Linked DNA regions of Drosophila melanogaster. The protein of the gene in region 2 interacts with the protein of the main gene of each other region in a pairwise test. Each region holds a gene or a part of one and is shown on either strand. Other genes may lie near its edges.

Region 1 (7,456 bases), on a different chromosome or scaffold from region 2:
ACCAATCGATGTTATCGATAAGTACACTGGCCAACATATTCACTTCTTTTTTTAAGTTTCCTAAACATTTTATCAACATTATTTTATCATTTTTTATATTGGCAATACTTTTTCAAAAATCGCGGATTTAAATATTTCCTAATTGAAATTTTATTTTACACACTTATTTCATTAAGGAACATCGATATACCGCACACCAACTAATAACAATCGATAATATGGTATGAGTTCAAATACATAATTCAATTTAAAAAAGGCCGCGAATTTTGTATGTGACAAGTACTTTAGAGTGGAGTTTATTCCAATAACTTTGAATTTACAAACATAAGAATGAAACTCTATTCGAATTATTTAATATGCTAATAACTAATTTATGGGGAAAGGTCATCTTGCTTCGGAGTTGGAAGAACGTGAAGAAAGTAAAGAAGTGAACAAGATCGATACAGATACACCTCTTTAGTTCGGCATGACGGACCCATTAAACTGATTATAAATTTATGTAACGGGCACACTGCAATCTGTTTGTTGAATAAATTCGAAATGGGCCATGACGAGAGCCAAAATCAACCCACCACCAAGAGTCCAGGTGACAAATGTGCCGAGTATTTCATTGGGTTGCTTAAAGAACTTGAAATGAGAACTTTAATTTAAGGTGCAAACCAATATATACCCTTGTATATAGCGGATATTCAATGTTATTAAATATTTAATATAACTTTTATTTAGATTGAAAATGGGTATAGTGTGCATTGAGAATTCAATCGAAAAGGTTTATAAACGATTTAACATTTACACAAAATTAATTTGTGAAAAAATATGGTTTAAAATGTAGTTTTAATTTAATTAATGTTAATTTTTCAATTTTCCAAGACCAGTTCTTTTTCATTGTAGTATAGTATACCCAAATAAAGAGCCACAAATGTTGTGTTGATACTCGTATTTACATAAAAAGCCCAAACAGGCGGCTTTAACGAAAGCGTTGCCATCAAATCTGACTGCCAATGTCCACCAACCACCATTCCGAGAAGAGAACTTTCAAAGCGGACAATCGTGTGTAAAAAGAAAGTAGGTGGGTAGGTAGGAAACATAAACAAAGTGTGAGCCATAGAACCGGGTACACATAAAAAAAAAGGTTGCAACCATAATTTCTTTATTTGATCTCTACAAAATGATACTACTTTTGATAATAGAGAAAGTGTTATGATTATCTTAATATGTTATTTTGATCTCTCTATATAAACATTTAACTTAACTCTATCCCAACACAATAAGCGGTTCTGATCTTTGCATAACAATTTTTTTTCTCTGTAAAAACCAAAGCTCTTCTGCTCTTTCTTCGCCCTCTCTTTTGTCTCGTTTTTTTTTCTGAAGACGGCGAACCTGACGTGGTGTTCAAAGCGCAGGCGTAAAGAATTCCATTCCGCGAGAGAGAGTCTGTCTGGAAACAGGTGAGAGCGGCGAATAGAGTTGGAGATTTGGATCCGAAGAAAGGGGAGTCCAGAGAGCGCTCACATCGAACATGTTCGATGGCCCCCAAAGAATCGTTGGCTTAAGAAGTGTTACAAACTGGCCCAGAGCCGCAGAAGAAAGAAAGTTTTCGGCTGTGCTGGCTGCTCTACGCTGCGATCTCCGTTCTCCGTTCTCCAATCTTTGTAATATCTGTTTAGATATACATAGTTATAGTATATACATACATATATTTCGTGTGCTCAGTGGAGCGTCTTCCGCGTTTTGTGGCTGCGTCGCTTAATTGGCCCAAAAGTATCTCAAGTGTGTGATTGTGAAAGTTCCTGAAGCAAAATGTACGTGAGACGAGCTCTGCTCTTGGCCTGCCTGCTGTGCCTCCAGCCGCTGGGTCCATCTATGGCCAGCGAGGATGAGTCCAATCCGCTGCTGGACATGGCCTCCATGTTCTTCCAGGAGGCGCTGTCCAACCAGAACGGTGGCAACAATGGAGGAGGCGGTGCTGGTTTGGCGGGTGTGGCCTCGCTAATTGGCACCTTCATGCAAGCGAGTGGCAAATCTGGAGGCGCCGGAGCAGGAGGCGGCGGTGCTGGTGGCGCCATGCAGATCCTCTCGGGCCTGGGCAGTCTTCTGTCCAAGAGTCAGGGCGGTCAGAGCGGTGGCTTCGATCCCTCCATCATTGGCAATGTCCTCGAGATGTTCACCCAGGGCGATGACGAGGAAGCCACTCCACAGCAAAAGCGCAGCAATGGCGGTGGCTCTGAATCTGGCATTGGTCTGGATACCATACTGCAAGTGGCATCCGCCTTCATGAACACCCAGGGCAACGATAAGGCCACACATCATCACCAGCAGAAGCGATCCACCGCCACGGAACCGGAATCCGAGAACGGACTGATGAACCTTCTGCCACTGGTCATGCAGGCGGTTAGCTCCTTTGCCGGTCCCGAGGGTCAGAGCACCCAGGAGAAGCACAAGAGCCACGCCTGGGTGCTGCCCCCATTCCTGGAGCACATTCACGTGCTGTGGGATCACTTCTCCAACTCCGAGCTGGCTGATGCGTTGTACGAGAAGTCCGGAGTTAACAAAATCATGAAGGTGGATGCATAAATCAGACTTAACTATATATTGTTGACGTTTTGATGTTAGAACATTTTATTAGATTTTAGTACGCTTTTTGCATAAAATATAGCACTTTTTAATACAATATTGGAAAATATTCAACATATTAAAGACCTTAGGAACACATTAAGAGTAAACTATTTTGACTACACATGCGTAAACAAAATGTAGAGAAAATCTTTAAAACAAAATAATCTATATATACTCATTTAAATTGATATAGAAACAATTAGCGGAAAAAAAAACAATTTAAAATTTGTTTCCTAGCTAAAATACAAATTCAAATTCTGAAATGTTACGCTACTAAAATAATATGTTAAATACCAATTTGTAATGCTAATTACTCTACTCTTATCCACCTCCAGGGCTTCAAGGGTTCCGATGGCAAGCTGGACTATGATAAGCTCTTCGAGTCGCTGAATAACCAATCCTTCCGTCGCCGCTGGATCAAGTCGGCCACACTCTACCTGGCCGACTGGGCCAGCTACCTGGCCAATCCCGAGGTGTATCTCAGGTGAGTCTCGGCCGGCCAACGTGGCTCGATCTTCAGCGATGGCCAAAGCGTGTTAATTGTGGATCACGTTCTGCTCTGCAACGGTCCCAGTGCATTTAGCACCTGGCTGCCATTCTTGGTCACACTCCAAGACCACCTTCCAGTCCAAATCCGATGCCCATTCCGATTCTAATTCAGAATCAGATTTCGAACAGCTGCTGGCAAAGCCTGTGCTAACCATTTCCCGTTAGCGACAACCCGTTTGGCCATCGAGCATGTTCGATGCGGCTACCTTTTGACCCACTTTTTTCGGTGCTGGTGCTGCTTTTAGAACGTGCCTGCTAATCCAACTGGTCAACAACAGTGGCAAGTACCAAGTCCAGGCACTGATACAGTTACAGTTGATATGCAGAAGATACAGAAGTCAACGGCATCGTTAAAACAAACAAATAAATAAAGCGGGCCAAAACCGGTTGGCGGTTTTAGCCAGGGGAAATTGCCTTGGCAGACCGGGTACACATGTCTGAAAAATCAAGTAATTCTTATCTACAAATCTTCTCAATTCATAATGACCAATCGAAACTGTTATTTAAAATGCAATAGTATAAGTATTAATTATATGTATTCCTTAAGCAAATCTCCAAAACTATGAATACTTTTCACATAGGAAAAACGACTTGGGAATTATAAGAAATCAGCATGCAGCGAGCAGAAAAACATTAATTTAAGCAATTTTTCTTTGTGTACACATTGGATTCAGACATTTTTGCATGATTCTTAAGTAGGTCAGGCTTCTCAGACTTCTTGGTCTTCTTATTTTTTGTTTGTTTTTGTTTTGCGTTGCCCCCAACGTTAGACAACAACAAAAGCGCACAACAACTTCCACTTTCTAGAGACCCTTTCACTCGGCGGTGCTGCGTGATTGAAACTCATCAATTTGCCCGCTTCTCGGCACTTTCTTATACAGGTACTTCCAGACGGCACAGATCATGTTTAACGGCTTGCTGAAGTCTCAAGGTTACCCCAAGCAGACCCACTTCGATCCCTCCCGTCCGGGCGAGACCATCTCGAATCTCTTGGACCATGTGGCCAAGCATCATCTGAACGTTAAGATCGATTCGAGGCAGTACGTCAAGCCAGCCGTGGGCTATGCCAAGGAACTGCTAAAACTTGGCCAGGCACGCGGATTACTTCAGTTCAATGCCACCGAGATCAGCGACAAGCTAACGGATACGCTTAACCTGGAGGTAAGCAGATTCTCTGAACTCTGAACTTAACTGATATGGGAACTGGGCAACGCAGTTGGTAATTGGAGATATATATCTGAGAATAGGAAATAGCTGAGGTGAAAATAATAGCACTAATTAAATAGTAATTCTGTTTAAAGTTATGTACTATATGATCCTTATATGTATGATTACTTTACTGAAGTTGCTGATAGTAGCTAAAGTATAAAGTATAAAGTACTAAAGGAGCTAATAGGAACTGATTACATTACTGAACTATATCATTGAAAACTATAACTAATTTATCCCATATGATTCTTGCAAATGCTTTGACCCATTTCGACGTAAAATGAATTTGTTATAATTGAATAACTTGGCCCAGTTAGATGTACTAAACACTTAGTTTGAAGCAAATCAAATTAATTACGCCACTATTTTCTCCTCCACGCATCCGTCAATGGATCAAATGGCAAACAGGTTATTGAACCGGTGCTGAAAGTCCATCGCGCCTACAGATACATCTCCAAGTCGCCGCAATGCGATCGCTACGTGCTCTGTCAGCTGAATGCAGCGGCTCTCGATCAGCAGGAGAAGCAGAGGCAGCACGACCAATACCAGCAGCACCACCAGCCCAAGCAGAGCCAACTGAATCGCCCGACATCGGCGTCCAGTCTAATTGCCGGAGTTAGTCCGAAAATCGTTAAGATCGGGAGCATGGGTGCGGCAATCTTCATTAGCACGGAAACCGGTACGCCGTTCTGGACCCTCTTCGGTGTGATCAATGCGCCATACAATTGCGAGGTGAGTAATAACGGCCACAGTGATGCACTGAAAAGAAATGGAATACATCTAGCATGAAGATGATGAAATCTCTAAGGGGATATAAAAGATAACTAAAAGTATGCTGCGTTACGTAGAACGTATTCTTTTGGTACTCTTTTTGTACGAGTAAATAATCATATATATTTTTCTCTCTCTGTACTTCCATTTGTCGCCGCTTTCTAACCGATATTTCTGCGATTGCACGCCAACAGGCCAAATATCCAGTCGACTGCAATGGTTTCCACGAGGGCGAGGCCAAGGTGACCACGGAATATATCCACAACGAGTTGTAGTATTCCAGTTGCAAATGGACAAGCGAGATCCGGACAAGAAAAGTAGAAGACGAAGGCTCATTAAGACGATTTAGCTGTAATTGAGATAAAGATTTCGTGTGTATATAGTATTACGGATTGAAATATATATTTAAATTTAAACAGAACCTTTTATTTTAAACTGTGTCATAAGGGTCATGAGATGGTTATCTAACTATTTCTAATCATAGTTGTTGTCTACAGATTTTACGATCTATTTGAAGTCAACGAACCGCAAAAGAAAAGCCATCCAACTACAGTCAAACTTAGCTAAGTGAGATCACTTTAAATAATCAGACCAATAAGACAATTTTCAGGATTTTCACTTTAATGATTTTGAATTTTAGTTATTCAAAAACCTGATCTTAGTTTCAGGCAACTTATTGAAGCCTTAATTCACCTTACAAGAGCTTTTTTTGCTGCACAAACCAGTTCGTGTTGGTGGAAAGTCCCATTTCAGTGCCTCGTTTGAACTTGCACTTGCACTTGCCACTCGACTTGACTTTGACTTCATTGTGCTTTGGTAATTTGGCCAAAGCAGTTGAAAGATACAGGAGCCATGCAGCTAATTTATCGTGAACTCGAGGAGGACATACTTCGACGCACTAATGCAGTCTTTCCGGTACAAAATTGCTTTGTTGAGGTCCTCCCCGATCAGTTTATCATTCCCAGAAAGTACGTGGAGCTGGGCGAATCGATTCGATCGCTTCCCGTTTACCAGGACGACGTATGGATGGTGTCCTATCCACGAACCGGATCGACGTGGGCCCAGGAGATGGTCTGGCTGCTGGGTCACCAATTGGATTACGTGGCCGCTGAGCAAGATTTAAGATTGCGATCTCCGCTCATTGAACTATCCGCTTTGTTTAGCATCGATCATCACGAGACGGTGGCGTGAGTATGAAGAAACTATATCATTCTGAACTCATATACACATTACTTGTACACTAATGTATATATATATAAGTGAGTGAAGCGGGGAAAAATTCATATTCAAAAAGCTTTTTCACCTCTTTGCACTTTCTCCTCGCCTGACAGCCAAAAGTTTGGCAATACCGTGGATCTGGTTCGCAATCTGCCACGCCCACGTTTTGCACGCTCCCACCTGCCGTGGCCTTTGCTACCCGAGCAATTTGAGACGGTAAAGCCGAGGATCGTGTATACTGCTCGAAATCCCAAGGATCTTTGCGTCTCGTACTATCACTACTTCAAGTTGCTGCACGGCATGAATGGGGACTTTGAGCAATTCGTGGATCTCTTCCTGGAGGGGCACACACCGATGGGATCCTATTGGCGGCACGTCCTGCCCTTTTGGAAACGTAGCCAGGATGATAATGTGCTGTTCATCAAGTACGAGGACATGGTCAAGGATCTGCCCAGTGTAGTTCGCCGCTGTGCCAGATTCCTGGGCGTTCAAAGTCTCCTCGATGTGAGCACTTTGCAGAAATTGTGCGATCACCTCACATTCGACAAGATGCGGGCGAACAAGGCGGTGAATCTGGAGAAGCTGCTCCCGGAATCATCTTCCAAGTTCATACGCAATGGCAAGATCGGGGATTGGCGCAATCACATGGGCAATGAGATGTCGGAACGCTTTGATGAATGGACCGAGAGACATATGCGTGGTTCTGGATTAAACTTTGACTACGTGTGAAAAACCCCACTTGCTAATAATATTTTTTGTGTTAAAATATTTTAATAAACTTAATTGGATTATGGGCGTATAAAATACGTTTATGGAGGCGATGAATAGTTATAAAAAGACTTATTGGTTACTTATCCGTAAATTAAATTAAATTACCAATTTTTTTTAATTTCTTGTCTTTAAAAACTTTTTTTCCACTTTTTATCAACATTTAAGCTTTCAAAAACATAAAAACATAAAATTAACAAGGTTTGTGTTTAAATCTGAGACCACCAGTCTTTTCTAAACTGCTCTTGCGAACACTACAACCATCAGAGATTCAAGATTCAGTTCTCTACAACTCTAAGCGAATCAAAATTTCTTAAAATTATTG
Region 2 (10,252 bases):
CCAACTGTTGTCCTGCCAACGCGTTTGATTTGAAGTTATGCGATGGCCGTGCGACTCTTAAGGATGCACGCTATCCGTATCCTGTCCACAGACAATGGCGCACACTCTGTCAATAACATGGGCCCACATTATGATTCTCATTTCCATTTTCAGTTTTCTGAGAACATGCGACACGCACAGGGATATGGATACGGATGTGGGTATGGGTATGGTGGTATGGAAATAAAGGGGTAACTAGGTGGAGATGGAAACCAGGACATTGTATGCCCACCTTTTACACAACTTGTTGTTTTGCGCGCTTTATGAGCTCTTCCCCGCAAGACAGGGCCAATAAAACGATCCACATGCGACGATAATCGTAAAAAATTATTTTAATGCCCCACCAACGAACCTAAATGCGCAGGAACCCAAGAGCCCAAGAACCTAGGAACCAAGGAAACTACGAATCCCGGTCGCCCCCAACTCACACGCGCCATAAATAGGGCCCTCAACTTATGTATTTGTAATTCCAACTAATTGAAGGCTACAGAAGATGGGGGAATTGGGACAGCTAAGCTAATATTAGGCGGTTACTTATAATGTCCGAGAACGCAGCTCCCTCCAGTGGGACAGGTCGTTAAATAAGCCAGGCGTTTAGGCATTTAGTGGTTGCCGTTTACCGGGAGGACTCCACTCACCTTGCGAGAACTGAAAGAGCTTGCAGAGGAACTCGCCAAAGATGAAGTTTCGCAGCAGGGTGCCCACCAGGGTGACGGGCATGCAGAGCACGCCCAGCAGCATGTCCGATATGGCCAGGTTGAGCAGGAACACGTTGGTTATGGTACGCATCCGGCGATTCTGCACCAGCGTCGAGATGACCAGCAGGTTGCCCAGCACGGCGAACAGCAGAATCATGCTATAGCTGGGTATCAGCCAGACGGGCATGCCAGTGGAAGTACTGGAGCTGGAAGCGGGTGTGGAACTGGGACTTGGACTTGAACTGGTGCCCAGGGAGAAGGCCAGTTCGGTGACCAGGTCACTGGGCTCGGTGTCCATATAGCCATCCCTATCATCATCGCCATAGCTGCTTGTCGCATTGCCCGCCAAGGAGACAGTGCCTCCGTTTCCAGTTCCATTGTAGGGTGCCACGTTGAGCGACACTATGTGACCCGCCGCACTTGGCGCATTGGCATAGTAGTCGAGCAGTGCCCTATAGGCAGCCGCTGCAGCCATGGCCGCCTGGTCGGCATCCCCCTCCTCGTAGTTGAACATCCCGGATGACCGGGTGATTCGTGGCAATCACTGGCCACCACCGCCTGACATGTCCCGTTGCGGGTCACCGAAAAAAATAAAATAAAATTTCACTCAATTGCTATTGAAACGGCGACGCTTGCGCGCAGGCTGGCAAAGATTGCGATATGGAACTCGGGGGTATCCGAGCACACGAGCTGGCGGCTTTGGCTGCCAGGAGAGGGCTCGCCTGCTACCGTTGCGGGTAACGCGTCGTGGGCAACTGACGACTGGCGGACGAGGACGACGCCTCCGCTCCGCTGGGCTAGCTGCCGCAACATGTTGCGTGGGCGATGCCGAATGGCGCAAACTCACCACGGCAACTTGTGGCTAGCAGCATGCTGCCAGGCAGCCCTGTTGCCGGGCAACTCCCATGTTGCGCGGAGGACGTTCCCTGCCGATTGGGACAAATTAATACGGTGCACTGCATCATCCATGGCGTCTGCAGCGGCGGAGCAGCTGCTGTTCGGCCCACGCACCGCGCTAATCATCAAATCAGCCGCATTCCTACGGCACTTGAGTGCCAGAGAATACAATCTCGGCTCGTTATGTGTTTGCACAAATGTTCTGCGCTAATTCCACGGATCGCATTCCCAGCCGACAAGCTGGCAGGGATCAGTGCTGATCTAGACATAGTTTTGGATATATAGCGATTCCGATTAGCACCTATAGCATCTATTTCAAAGACTACCTTTTCGCTTGCAATTGTTGCTCGTTTTTTCGGCGCAGGAAGTGAATGGAATAGCCCTCGATGAAGGAAAATAACATGACCGGGAGCTGCAGTGGTAAGACGTGACTCCACTGGGATACTGGATATGACTATGCCAGGAATCCGTGTTGCCGAAGAAACCCAATAAATCCAATAAATTCATGTTTTGATAGAATAGATAGAATTCACTTCTCGTAAGCCTCTTCACCATCGAGGAAGAGATCTTCTTCAAGGGATTCAGCTGATCCTTAAGGACGTACATAGTTTAGATGGAGGAGTACAGTCGTTGTTTTTCTATCCATCTGACTATACATATATTTGCGCACGATGTTATGGTTTCCTGTGGCCATTGCCAGTTAAGATGGCTAACACGAAGTATTTATGCAAACTTCATTATCATTATAGGAGCATCTAGCAGACTAAATTTTCTCGCGGTGTACGCATAAAACACTAGCCAACATCTGGCTTTTTTTGGTGTTTCCGAAATGCCTGCACTGAAAATGAAAATGAAAATAAAGCCAAATGCGGCGACATCGTCGCAGTTCGCCCGCTCTCGCTTGCTCCCCACGCAGCCGTCTCTGTCGCACCTGCTGTTTGTCTAACAGCTGCCGTGGGGCCTTCTGGCCAGTGCATCTCGCTCGCACGCACGGCGACTGCGCCGCCGACTTCGGCGGTCGACGGTCGGCACTTCATTCGGAGTTGCAGACGCCGGCAACGCCGCATTCGTGAGATACAACTCGTGGTGGTCGGACGAAGTTCAGCGGCTGCTCTAATATCTGGATATCTGGAACTGTGCTGGTTCTGTCCATCGCTCTTTGTGCGCTTGGATTGTGTTTTTTTGTTGTTTTTCTGGCGCTGTGTATTTTTGTTTTCGTTGTCATTGTGCCACTCTGCCACTCTGCCACTTTGTCACCTTGCAAACGGTCAACTCTTCCCGCCAGACCAGCACTCCGTTCCCCTTCGAGACTCACCCGCGATCCCAGGAAGCTGTTCCCAAGAGCACCAGCATCCCAGCTGCGCATTGAAAACCATATCTACATCCACATCCAGAACACAGCGCACCAGCATGTCGGACGGCATCGAGGTCGAGCAATTGGTGGAGAGCAAGCCGAGAAGGGTGAGTAGTGGGGAGTGGGTTGGGCACACATGGAGTTCGAGTTGGAGTTGGAGATGGATGGAGTCGGTAGTCCTGCTCCGGGCAGGGACCATGAAATGTGTGTGTATACCGGCAGGGGACGACCGAAAATTAAGAATTATAAAAGATTGGATGGGGCAGCCAGAAGTCCAGAGAGTCAGAGAGCAGGCCGGAGAGATATCTTATAAATGCACCGAAAGAAAACGGGTACTCAGTATGCTGATCACTTTTAAGGCTGAGCCAATCCGATGGCACAACCTTAAAATGGAAGAAAGTTCTAATCACCACTACATTATAAATACCTACAATTAAAGAATGCTAAAAAAAAATAATATTCTCTTGAGAATAATGATCGATTTTCGAACTTTAAATTGTTCAAATATATATTGAAAAATATTGGGGATTAGTAGAAATATACAATAATATAAAAATTCAATTACCAACAGTGGTATTGAACTCGGACATTGGCTTTAAGGATACAAAATACAGTTTTCTTCCGGTGTACACACTGGAGTTGCTGAAGCCCAGGCCCATGCGGCGTGTGTGTATATCGCTGGGCATGCGTGAGTGTCTGTAAATAACTCTGACATTGGCTCGCCGGCGACTCCGCTCCACAAGAACCGGCCCCAGAGGGCCAGAGGTCCAGGAGGCGGGGTGGCAGCTGGGTTTTATGGCTCTGGCTGGCTGGGCGGAAAGGGGCAGGGCAGGGCAGGAACAGGGACTGAGTACCGAGGGGCAATATCATCTTGGCTGGATGCGATTGCGGGGGCGGATGCAGATTGTGGGGGCGACTCCGAATCCGAATCCGAACCCAAAAACTGAATCCGAATGCGACGCCTTCGCAGCGATGCATATCAAGTTCAAGTGCGTTTGCAGTGCGGCTGCCGCTGCTGCACTTGCTCGCTGGGATCTCGAGACACCATCGATACCCAACGAAGACGCTGCGGTTAATGCGGCGCAGTCCGTCGCCCTGGCAAACACGTATAGCTTTCCAGATTACGGTATTTAGCGGGCACTGGGAGCTGGGTAAATGGTTGCAGTGCCATTATCTTGCGGGTACTTCGTTCAGCTGATCGCAAGATCTGCGTTTCATGTGACTTTTGGTGCACAGCACTTGTTCGCCAACCTAATCTCTATGGCATCAAACAAAACGATTGTGCAGGCCAATAAATATTACAATTTCGAGGTTTCCAAGTGCAGGCAAACAAGTGAGTAATAAAAGTGTATGGAATCGATGGGGATATCGGCCATTCCACACCCTTTCAATGCTCGGGAATCGCTTCCTGACGCGCCAATTTTGGTCATCCACTCCCCGAGTCGTCGTCGTCGTCGTCACCTTCAGGCGGCATGAATCACGCACTCGGAACCTCGTTTCCCGCAACCCGCAACCCGTACCCCATACCGATACCCCGTACCCATCAGAATGACCATCCACAACCCCATCCGGCATCCCAGATCCCCCGACTCCGGGCGTCTGGGGCGTGAGCAGCCACAAAACAGTTTGCTCCTTTGTTTCCTGCACTGTTTGTGCTAGTGTGCGTGGCGAATGAAACATCGACGGCAGCGGAATAAAAATAAGAAATAAAATGAAATGAAATAAAGTAAAGTAAAGTGGGGGAAAAAGAACATTGACATATCGGCGGTCCCAGACCCGGAGCAAGTACGTCATTGCGACTGCGCTGCGGCAACTGGCAATTTGTCACAACATTGCCAATTATTTTTTTTGCTTGTTTTATTTATTTTTTTTTTTTTTTTGGACTTAGTCTGGCCAAGGCGAAGCGGTTAATAACCGATTCGCTGCAATTTATTGGTTATTTTCCAATTGCCTTGCCAATGAGTCAGTTGCATCGACCCACGAATATTCCGCATATTGTGTTTTCACTGTGCATGTATGTCATATATATATCTGCATCGCCTCTCCTTTATTTTCCTTTATTCATGCCCGATCGTATTATTTGGAATTTTTTTCGTTTCTTATCTGAAATTCATTAGTCAACATAAAACACTTTCGGTCCACTTGTACATACACAATGAAAAAGCGAATAAAATACAAAATGTTTAGTGCAATCGAAAGTGAATACTCTAACTTTTATTGTTCATACTTCAGTATTTGCTTTATGAGCTCACGATCTATATATACCATACAATTAGATATATAAACTATACAAACAGAGTTAACTTGAAATAATGTCAGTGGTGTATACCAGGCATCGAATGATAAAAGATACGGATATAATACCATTCACTCTGTAGTTCTCGATAGCTTGCTGTTTACTTAAGGACAGGATTATTTACATACAATACGTTCTCATAGATGTTTATTTTAAAGGTATCCCAAGAATTTCTACAACTGCGATACCTTTCACAAGGGTATCAGCGTTGAGTTACGCAGCAAGTCAGTTTCAAGCACCTGGCGCTGGGGATTCGGTTTCGTTTTCGTTAGCAAATTGTTATTTGCTGTATTATGCTTGGTTACGTTTAGCTGCAGTTATAGCCGCGTTTGATGCATCGCCGGCCCGCTCATTGCCAGATATCGATGGATATAGCTATAGATACTATAGCTACATATATCTAGCTGGCAATGCAGCGTGCTGTATGAATGCACACATGGGCATATATGGCTCATTACGTACGAATCCACATATATAGATAGATATAATACATATGTACATCTATCTATCGGATATGGCCGCAAGCCATTTGAGTAGCGCGAATTGTTTGGCAGATGGCTTTCCTGCTGGAAAGGTGGCTAACTCAATGGATCTGTTAGGATTATTGGTGGTTCCAAGTGAAACTGAAAATATGTATGCATATACATTTCCTGTCATCGCTACAAGGTTACTTATCAGACTGTTGCTCACTGTTTTCCATCGAGAATCACGAATCACGATTAACCGTATCAATTATGGACTGGCTACTGTCGCTCGCTTTTCTATGCGAATCTTTCGAGGATGACGCACTCTGACTTTCCTTGAAACTATTGTAGTTTCCCTTTTTTCGATATATTTCCTGAAGCCAGCGCAATATCTCGATTCCTATGACTAAGCGTCAATCTCTGCTGAATTTTTATGGCGTGTAAAATTGGAACAGGCGAGCCCTACAGATTTAACCGGCACTAATTGCCCGGGCGATCCCAAGAACTTTCGGTAATAAATCAATTACAGTTCCTTTAGTTTTGCGACAGTTTTCTTATCAGAGCAAATAGATGGCATTGCGTCAATTCCGGAGGTGGGGCTATCCGAGCCTATCCTATCCGATCTTTGGGTGCACTCCCAGCCCAACTGGAGTGATCTAATTTGTCGTGTTGTCATTGTGTCAGAAGTGGAGATATGGCCATATAGGCATATATATGTATATAGATACATATGTGCGAACGTTATCGGGCTTATCGGCTGGAAACTTAATTTCAGCTAATTTTAGCCAACAATTTGGCTCACGTACCCGTGGAGGTTGCAGGAGGAGCACCGACATTTCTATATACATTTGTATCTGCTATCTTGCTTGTTTGGGGGAAAATTTGTCGGGTATTTTCGGTGGGTCATTCGCTGCAACGGTTTCTTAGTCGTCCGCTCATTTTTGGCACAGTTTGCGTCCGCATCTTGTTCATTTTTTTTTTTTTTTTGCCTGCCTTCCGACTAATTAATTCAGAGCCACGAAACGGGAGATTCAGAGCTGTTCCATAGTTCTATGCGACGCATAGAATACACATACAAACTCCAAGTTCTTACTGCGTCGCGTTGTGAAAGTCGTCGCCCGAAACATCTTTGGGTTTAATTGTTTGGCTTTTGATATTTTCGACAGTCGTCGCTTTTCTAATTGATTTTTCTCACCAGACGCCGTACTCTCCGGTCATTGAACGCATTATAGAGCGATCTCTATCTCCATCTTCCCATCGGTATCTGTATCTGTATCTGTATTTGTACCTTTAGCTGTATCTGTATCCGTATCTCTGGCCCAGCTTCAATGTCTATTTATACGCGAGTCTAGTTCCTGACTCCAAGCCCGATCCATTTGGCTGGCAGTTGGACCAACAGTCATTTGGCTCTCTTTGTTTGTTGTCATCCCGTTCCGACGACCCCAAGTCACTTATCAAATCTCTGACCTGCTTTCCGCCGGCTGCTGATTGAAAATTGTCACGCGTAAATTGATTTTAATGCGGCGATCCGCTTAAGACAATAAGAGTGCACTACGTGAAAGGGTAGTTTTCCGATCCGTACTACAAGTATACTCGTATCAAAAACCATCGATCCAATCGCTTTACACGCTTTCCACGCATCTAAGCTGAGCCTAACTTTGTGCACATAATGCTACCCCAAAGATCACTTAATAAACCACAATTAAAATTAATCTTTAGCTAACCAAAATCGTATTGAGACTTGGTTTTTTACATTTCACTATCAAGCCATTCGAACTTATCAAGCAATTTAAATTCATTTACATATCGATATTTTTAAATCATCATATTTTTGGGCTTTGAACCAGAACCCTGAACCCTCATATGTGTGTGCTGATATCATTATCAAAAATGCTGTAATTTAATATGCGGGTATGTTCCAGTATGTTATCATAATAAAGCCTTTATTTTTTCTTCGAAATATGTACATATTTACATTGGCTACTTTTCCGCTGGCCCGCTGGTATTATGTTTATAAAGCACTAAAGCGGCAACAAATTGCTTTCCGTGAATCTGCCCGAACGTAATGCAAGTGGGCGATGCAATGGCGTGCCTATTCCCCTGGCCGACTTGAGGTTGCCTGACACGGAAACAAGTCGAATTGAATGTAATATAACCATCGAAAGCGAAAGCACCGCTTAAATCTGACTCATAGATGGCGCCGTCAAGAGTACTTGGCCCCGCATTGAGTACATACAATACATTTCGCTATCGATGGGCCAAAGCGGATGATCCATTCGCCTTGGCGAAACGATTCGGACTTGGAATACATGATTAAGATATATACTTCCGTCTGAAAGTTGCTTATAGTTCCCCTCTTCGCTTGCTTATAATCCTCTTCCCCCTTGCTCTTTCGCAGATGCCGCTGGCCACGTCGCTGGAGAAGGACTCGATTCGCGAGGCCTACGAGGATGTACGCTCCGATCTGACAGACACCGAGTGGGCGGTATTCAAGTTCGATGGCGCCCAGATTATTGTACATGCGCGCGGTCAGTGCTTTGAGGAATTCCGACAGCAGTTCGGCGACTCGGAGCGCGCCTTTGGCTACATACGCATCCAGATGGGTGACGAGATGTCCAAGCGCAAAAAGTTCATCTTCCTGACGTGGATCGGGCAGGAGGTGGGCGTCATCCAGAGGGCCAAGATGTCCACGGACAAGGCGCTGATCAAGGATGTCCTCAACGTGAGTAGCCAATAGCTAGAGATGCCAGAGCCCAGAGGCAGAAATAGATCCTCTCATCTCTAATCTCTTGCAGAATTTTGCCGTGGAACTTCAGGCGGGAGTGGAGGCCGAGCTGGACATTGAGCTCTTCCGTGAAGCACTGAACCGTGCCGGCGGCGCCAACTACGGAACGGGCATCCGGGATAACTAAGCGGCCTCCAAGTTACTTTACATATACATTTTTTTTTGCAACTCTTAACTGCTTACCAAACTGCTCCTTTCTCTTTAATTATTATGAATTAATTTTATGAAATTTAAAAACTGTACATTTTATGAAATATTATACAAGCAATTGTAACATTACTGGGTCCTCTTATTTATCGTATAATCATAATCCATAGTGTCATTCAAAAAAGGTAAAAGAAAAGTTTTCAATACCAAATTTCAAGAGCGGATGCAAAATCATTATCAATGCCATACATTTAATTGTGTATATAGTGGGACTGATGAATTACTTTGATGATAAGACAAAAATTTTAGCCACCTAATACTGAATACTGAAGTGGACAGATATGCCAGAATTTGCATTAGAAAATTCAAGTTTCTATAGTAAAGAAATGTTCTCGTTTAAACTAGTCTGGTTTTCTGAACATACGCTGGATGGATCGATTCGAATTTAATAAGCGCGAAATGAAAATGGACTACGTTGTTGAACTAAATACTACGGAGATGATGAAAATGATGAGAAAAATTATCTAGTTGCTTTAGTTCCCGGGCTCTGCCTCTCGCTTCCTAGCGGACCCTGAAGAGTACCGAGTGAAGTGCATCGATGTCCACCTCCACGCCAGACGAGTTTGTGGTCACGGTGCGAGAGCTACGGCCGAGAACGTTGAACAATACTGCTTGGTATCTTTAAAGCATATCACTCACCTGGCTTTGTGCACCGAGCGACGGGAGGAGTGCGGATTAACCAGCACACAGTGCATGGGCTGGTCATCGAACTGACGATGGTGATAGGTATCTACGGCCTTCTCGGCATGTTCCAGTGACTTGTAAATAACTTCGGCGGTGCCGGGACGCACCACACGAGCGTCGTACACTGGGCCGATGTCGCTAAAAAGCTCGCGAATATCCGCAGTAGTCACGTTAGTATGCAGATTGCTCACCAGCAGGCGGTATCCATCCTTTGTGTTCGACGTACGCAGCGACAATGGGGATGGCGAACGGCGCTTGTTCTTCGATGGAGCAGCTGCATCACCATCACTATCAGTACCGCTATCGCTATCCCTAGCACCACCGCCACCAACAGCCTTTCTCCGGTTCTCGTTGGCGTAGATGCCATGAGAAATGTGAGGATCCCTCTTACCGACAAACAGACGAGACCGCAGCGATTCTGGGAGTTTACTTGTGCTTGCTGTGTCGCGGTGGCGGCGCTCGAGAGGCTCCTTGGTGGTATTTGAGCGTCCAACTACGAGTCGGTTGGTCAGCGAAGGACGCTCAATGCGATTGCGGGCCGCCTCGTAAATGGAGAATGCATTGTTATCTATTTTGTTATTTAGTGGGGCCATGGACATCTCCACGTCGTCGCCGCGGTTCAGGTCGAGCCCACCAATTGAGTAGCGTGGCGACGCTTGCTTCATTTGCCCTAAGTGCAGTGTGCGAGATATTTCCTCTGAAAGTAGAAGAGTGCTTTTTAGGAACGGCTTGGCAGAGAAAGGCACTAACTAACCATCCTCGAGGTCCTGCATATTATCAAGATCAATATAGCGTCGTGGAGCAAAGGGTTTGCCCGGCTTATGGGAT

Evidence for each region.
Region 1: the proteins of CG6891 (region 2) and CG8420 interact in a two-hybrid assay, tested with the Drosophila melanogaster proteins (one large-scale study listed by BioGRID).

The regions. Positions count from the first base shown.
Region 1 is NT_033777.3:9,245,874-9,253,329, forward strand, and holds CG8420 (uncharacterized protein), read left to right. Parts: upstream 1-1,575; 5' UTR 1,576-1,800; coding exon 1,801-2,562; intron 2,563-2,951; coding exon 2,952-3,100; intron 3,101-4,046; coding exon 4,047-4,326; intron 4,327-4,782; coding exon 4,783-5,106; intron 5,107-5,339; coding exon 5,340-5,420; 3' UTR 5,421-5,558; downstream 5,559-7,456. Other genes in the region: St2 (sulfotransferase 2), read left to right, coding at 5,998-6,332, 6,477-7,092.
Region 2 is NC_004354.4:18,772,535-18,782,786, forward strand, and holds CG6891 (uncharacterized protein), read left to right. Parts: upstream 1-2,693; 5' UTR 2,694-3,044; coding exon 3,045-3,095; intron 3,096-3,963; exon of another isoform or gene 3,964-4,321; intron 4,322-7,098; exon of another isoform or gene 7,099-7,311; intron 7,312-8,146; coding exon 8,147-8,470; intron 8,471-8,543; coding exon 8,544-8,660; 3' UTR 8,661-8,811; downstream 8,812-10,252. Other genes in the region: CCKLR-17D3 (Cholecystokinin-like receptor at 17D3), read right to left, coding at 678-1,251; CG18259 (uncharacterized protein), read right to left, coding at 9,242-9,323, 9,380-10,121, 10,179-10,252.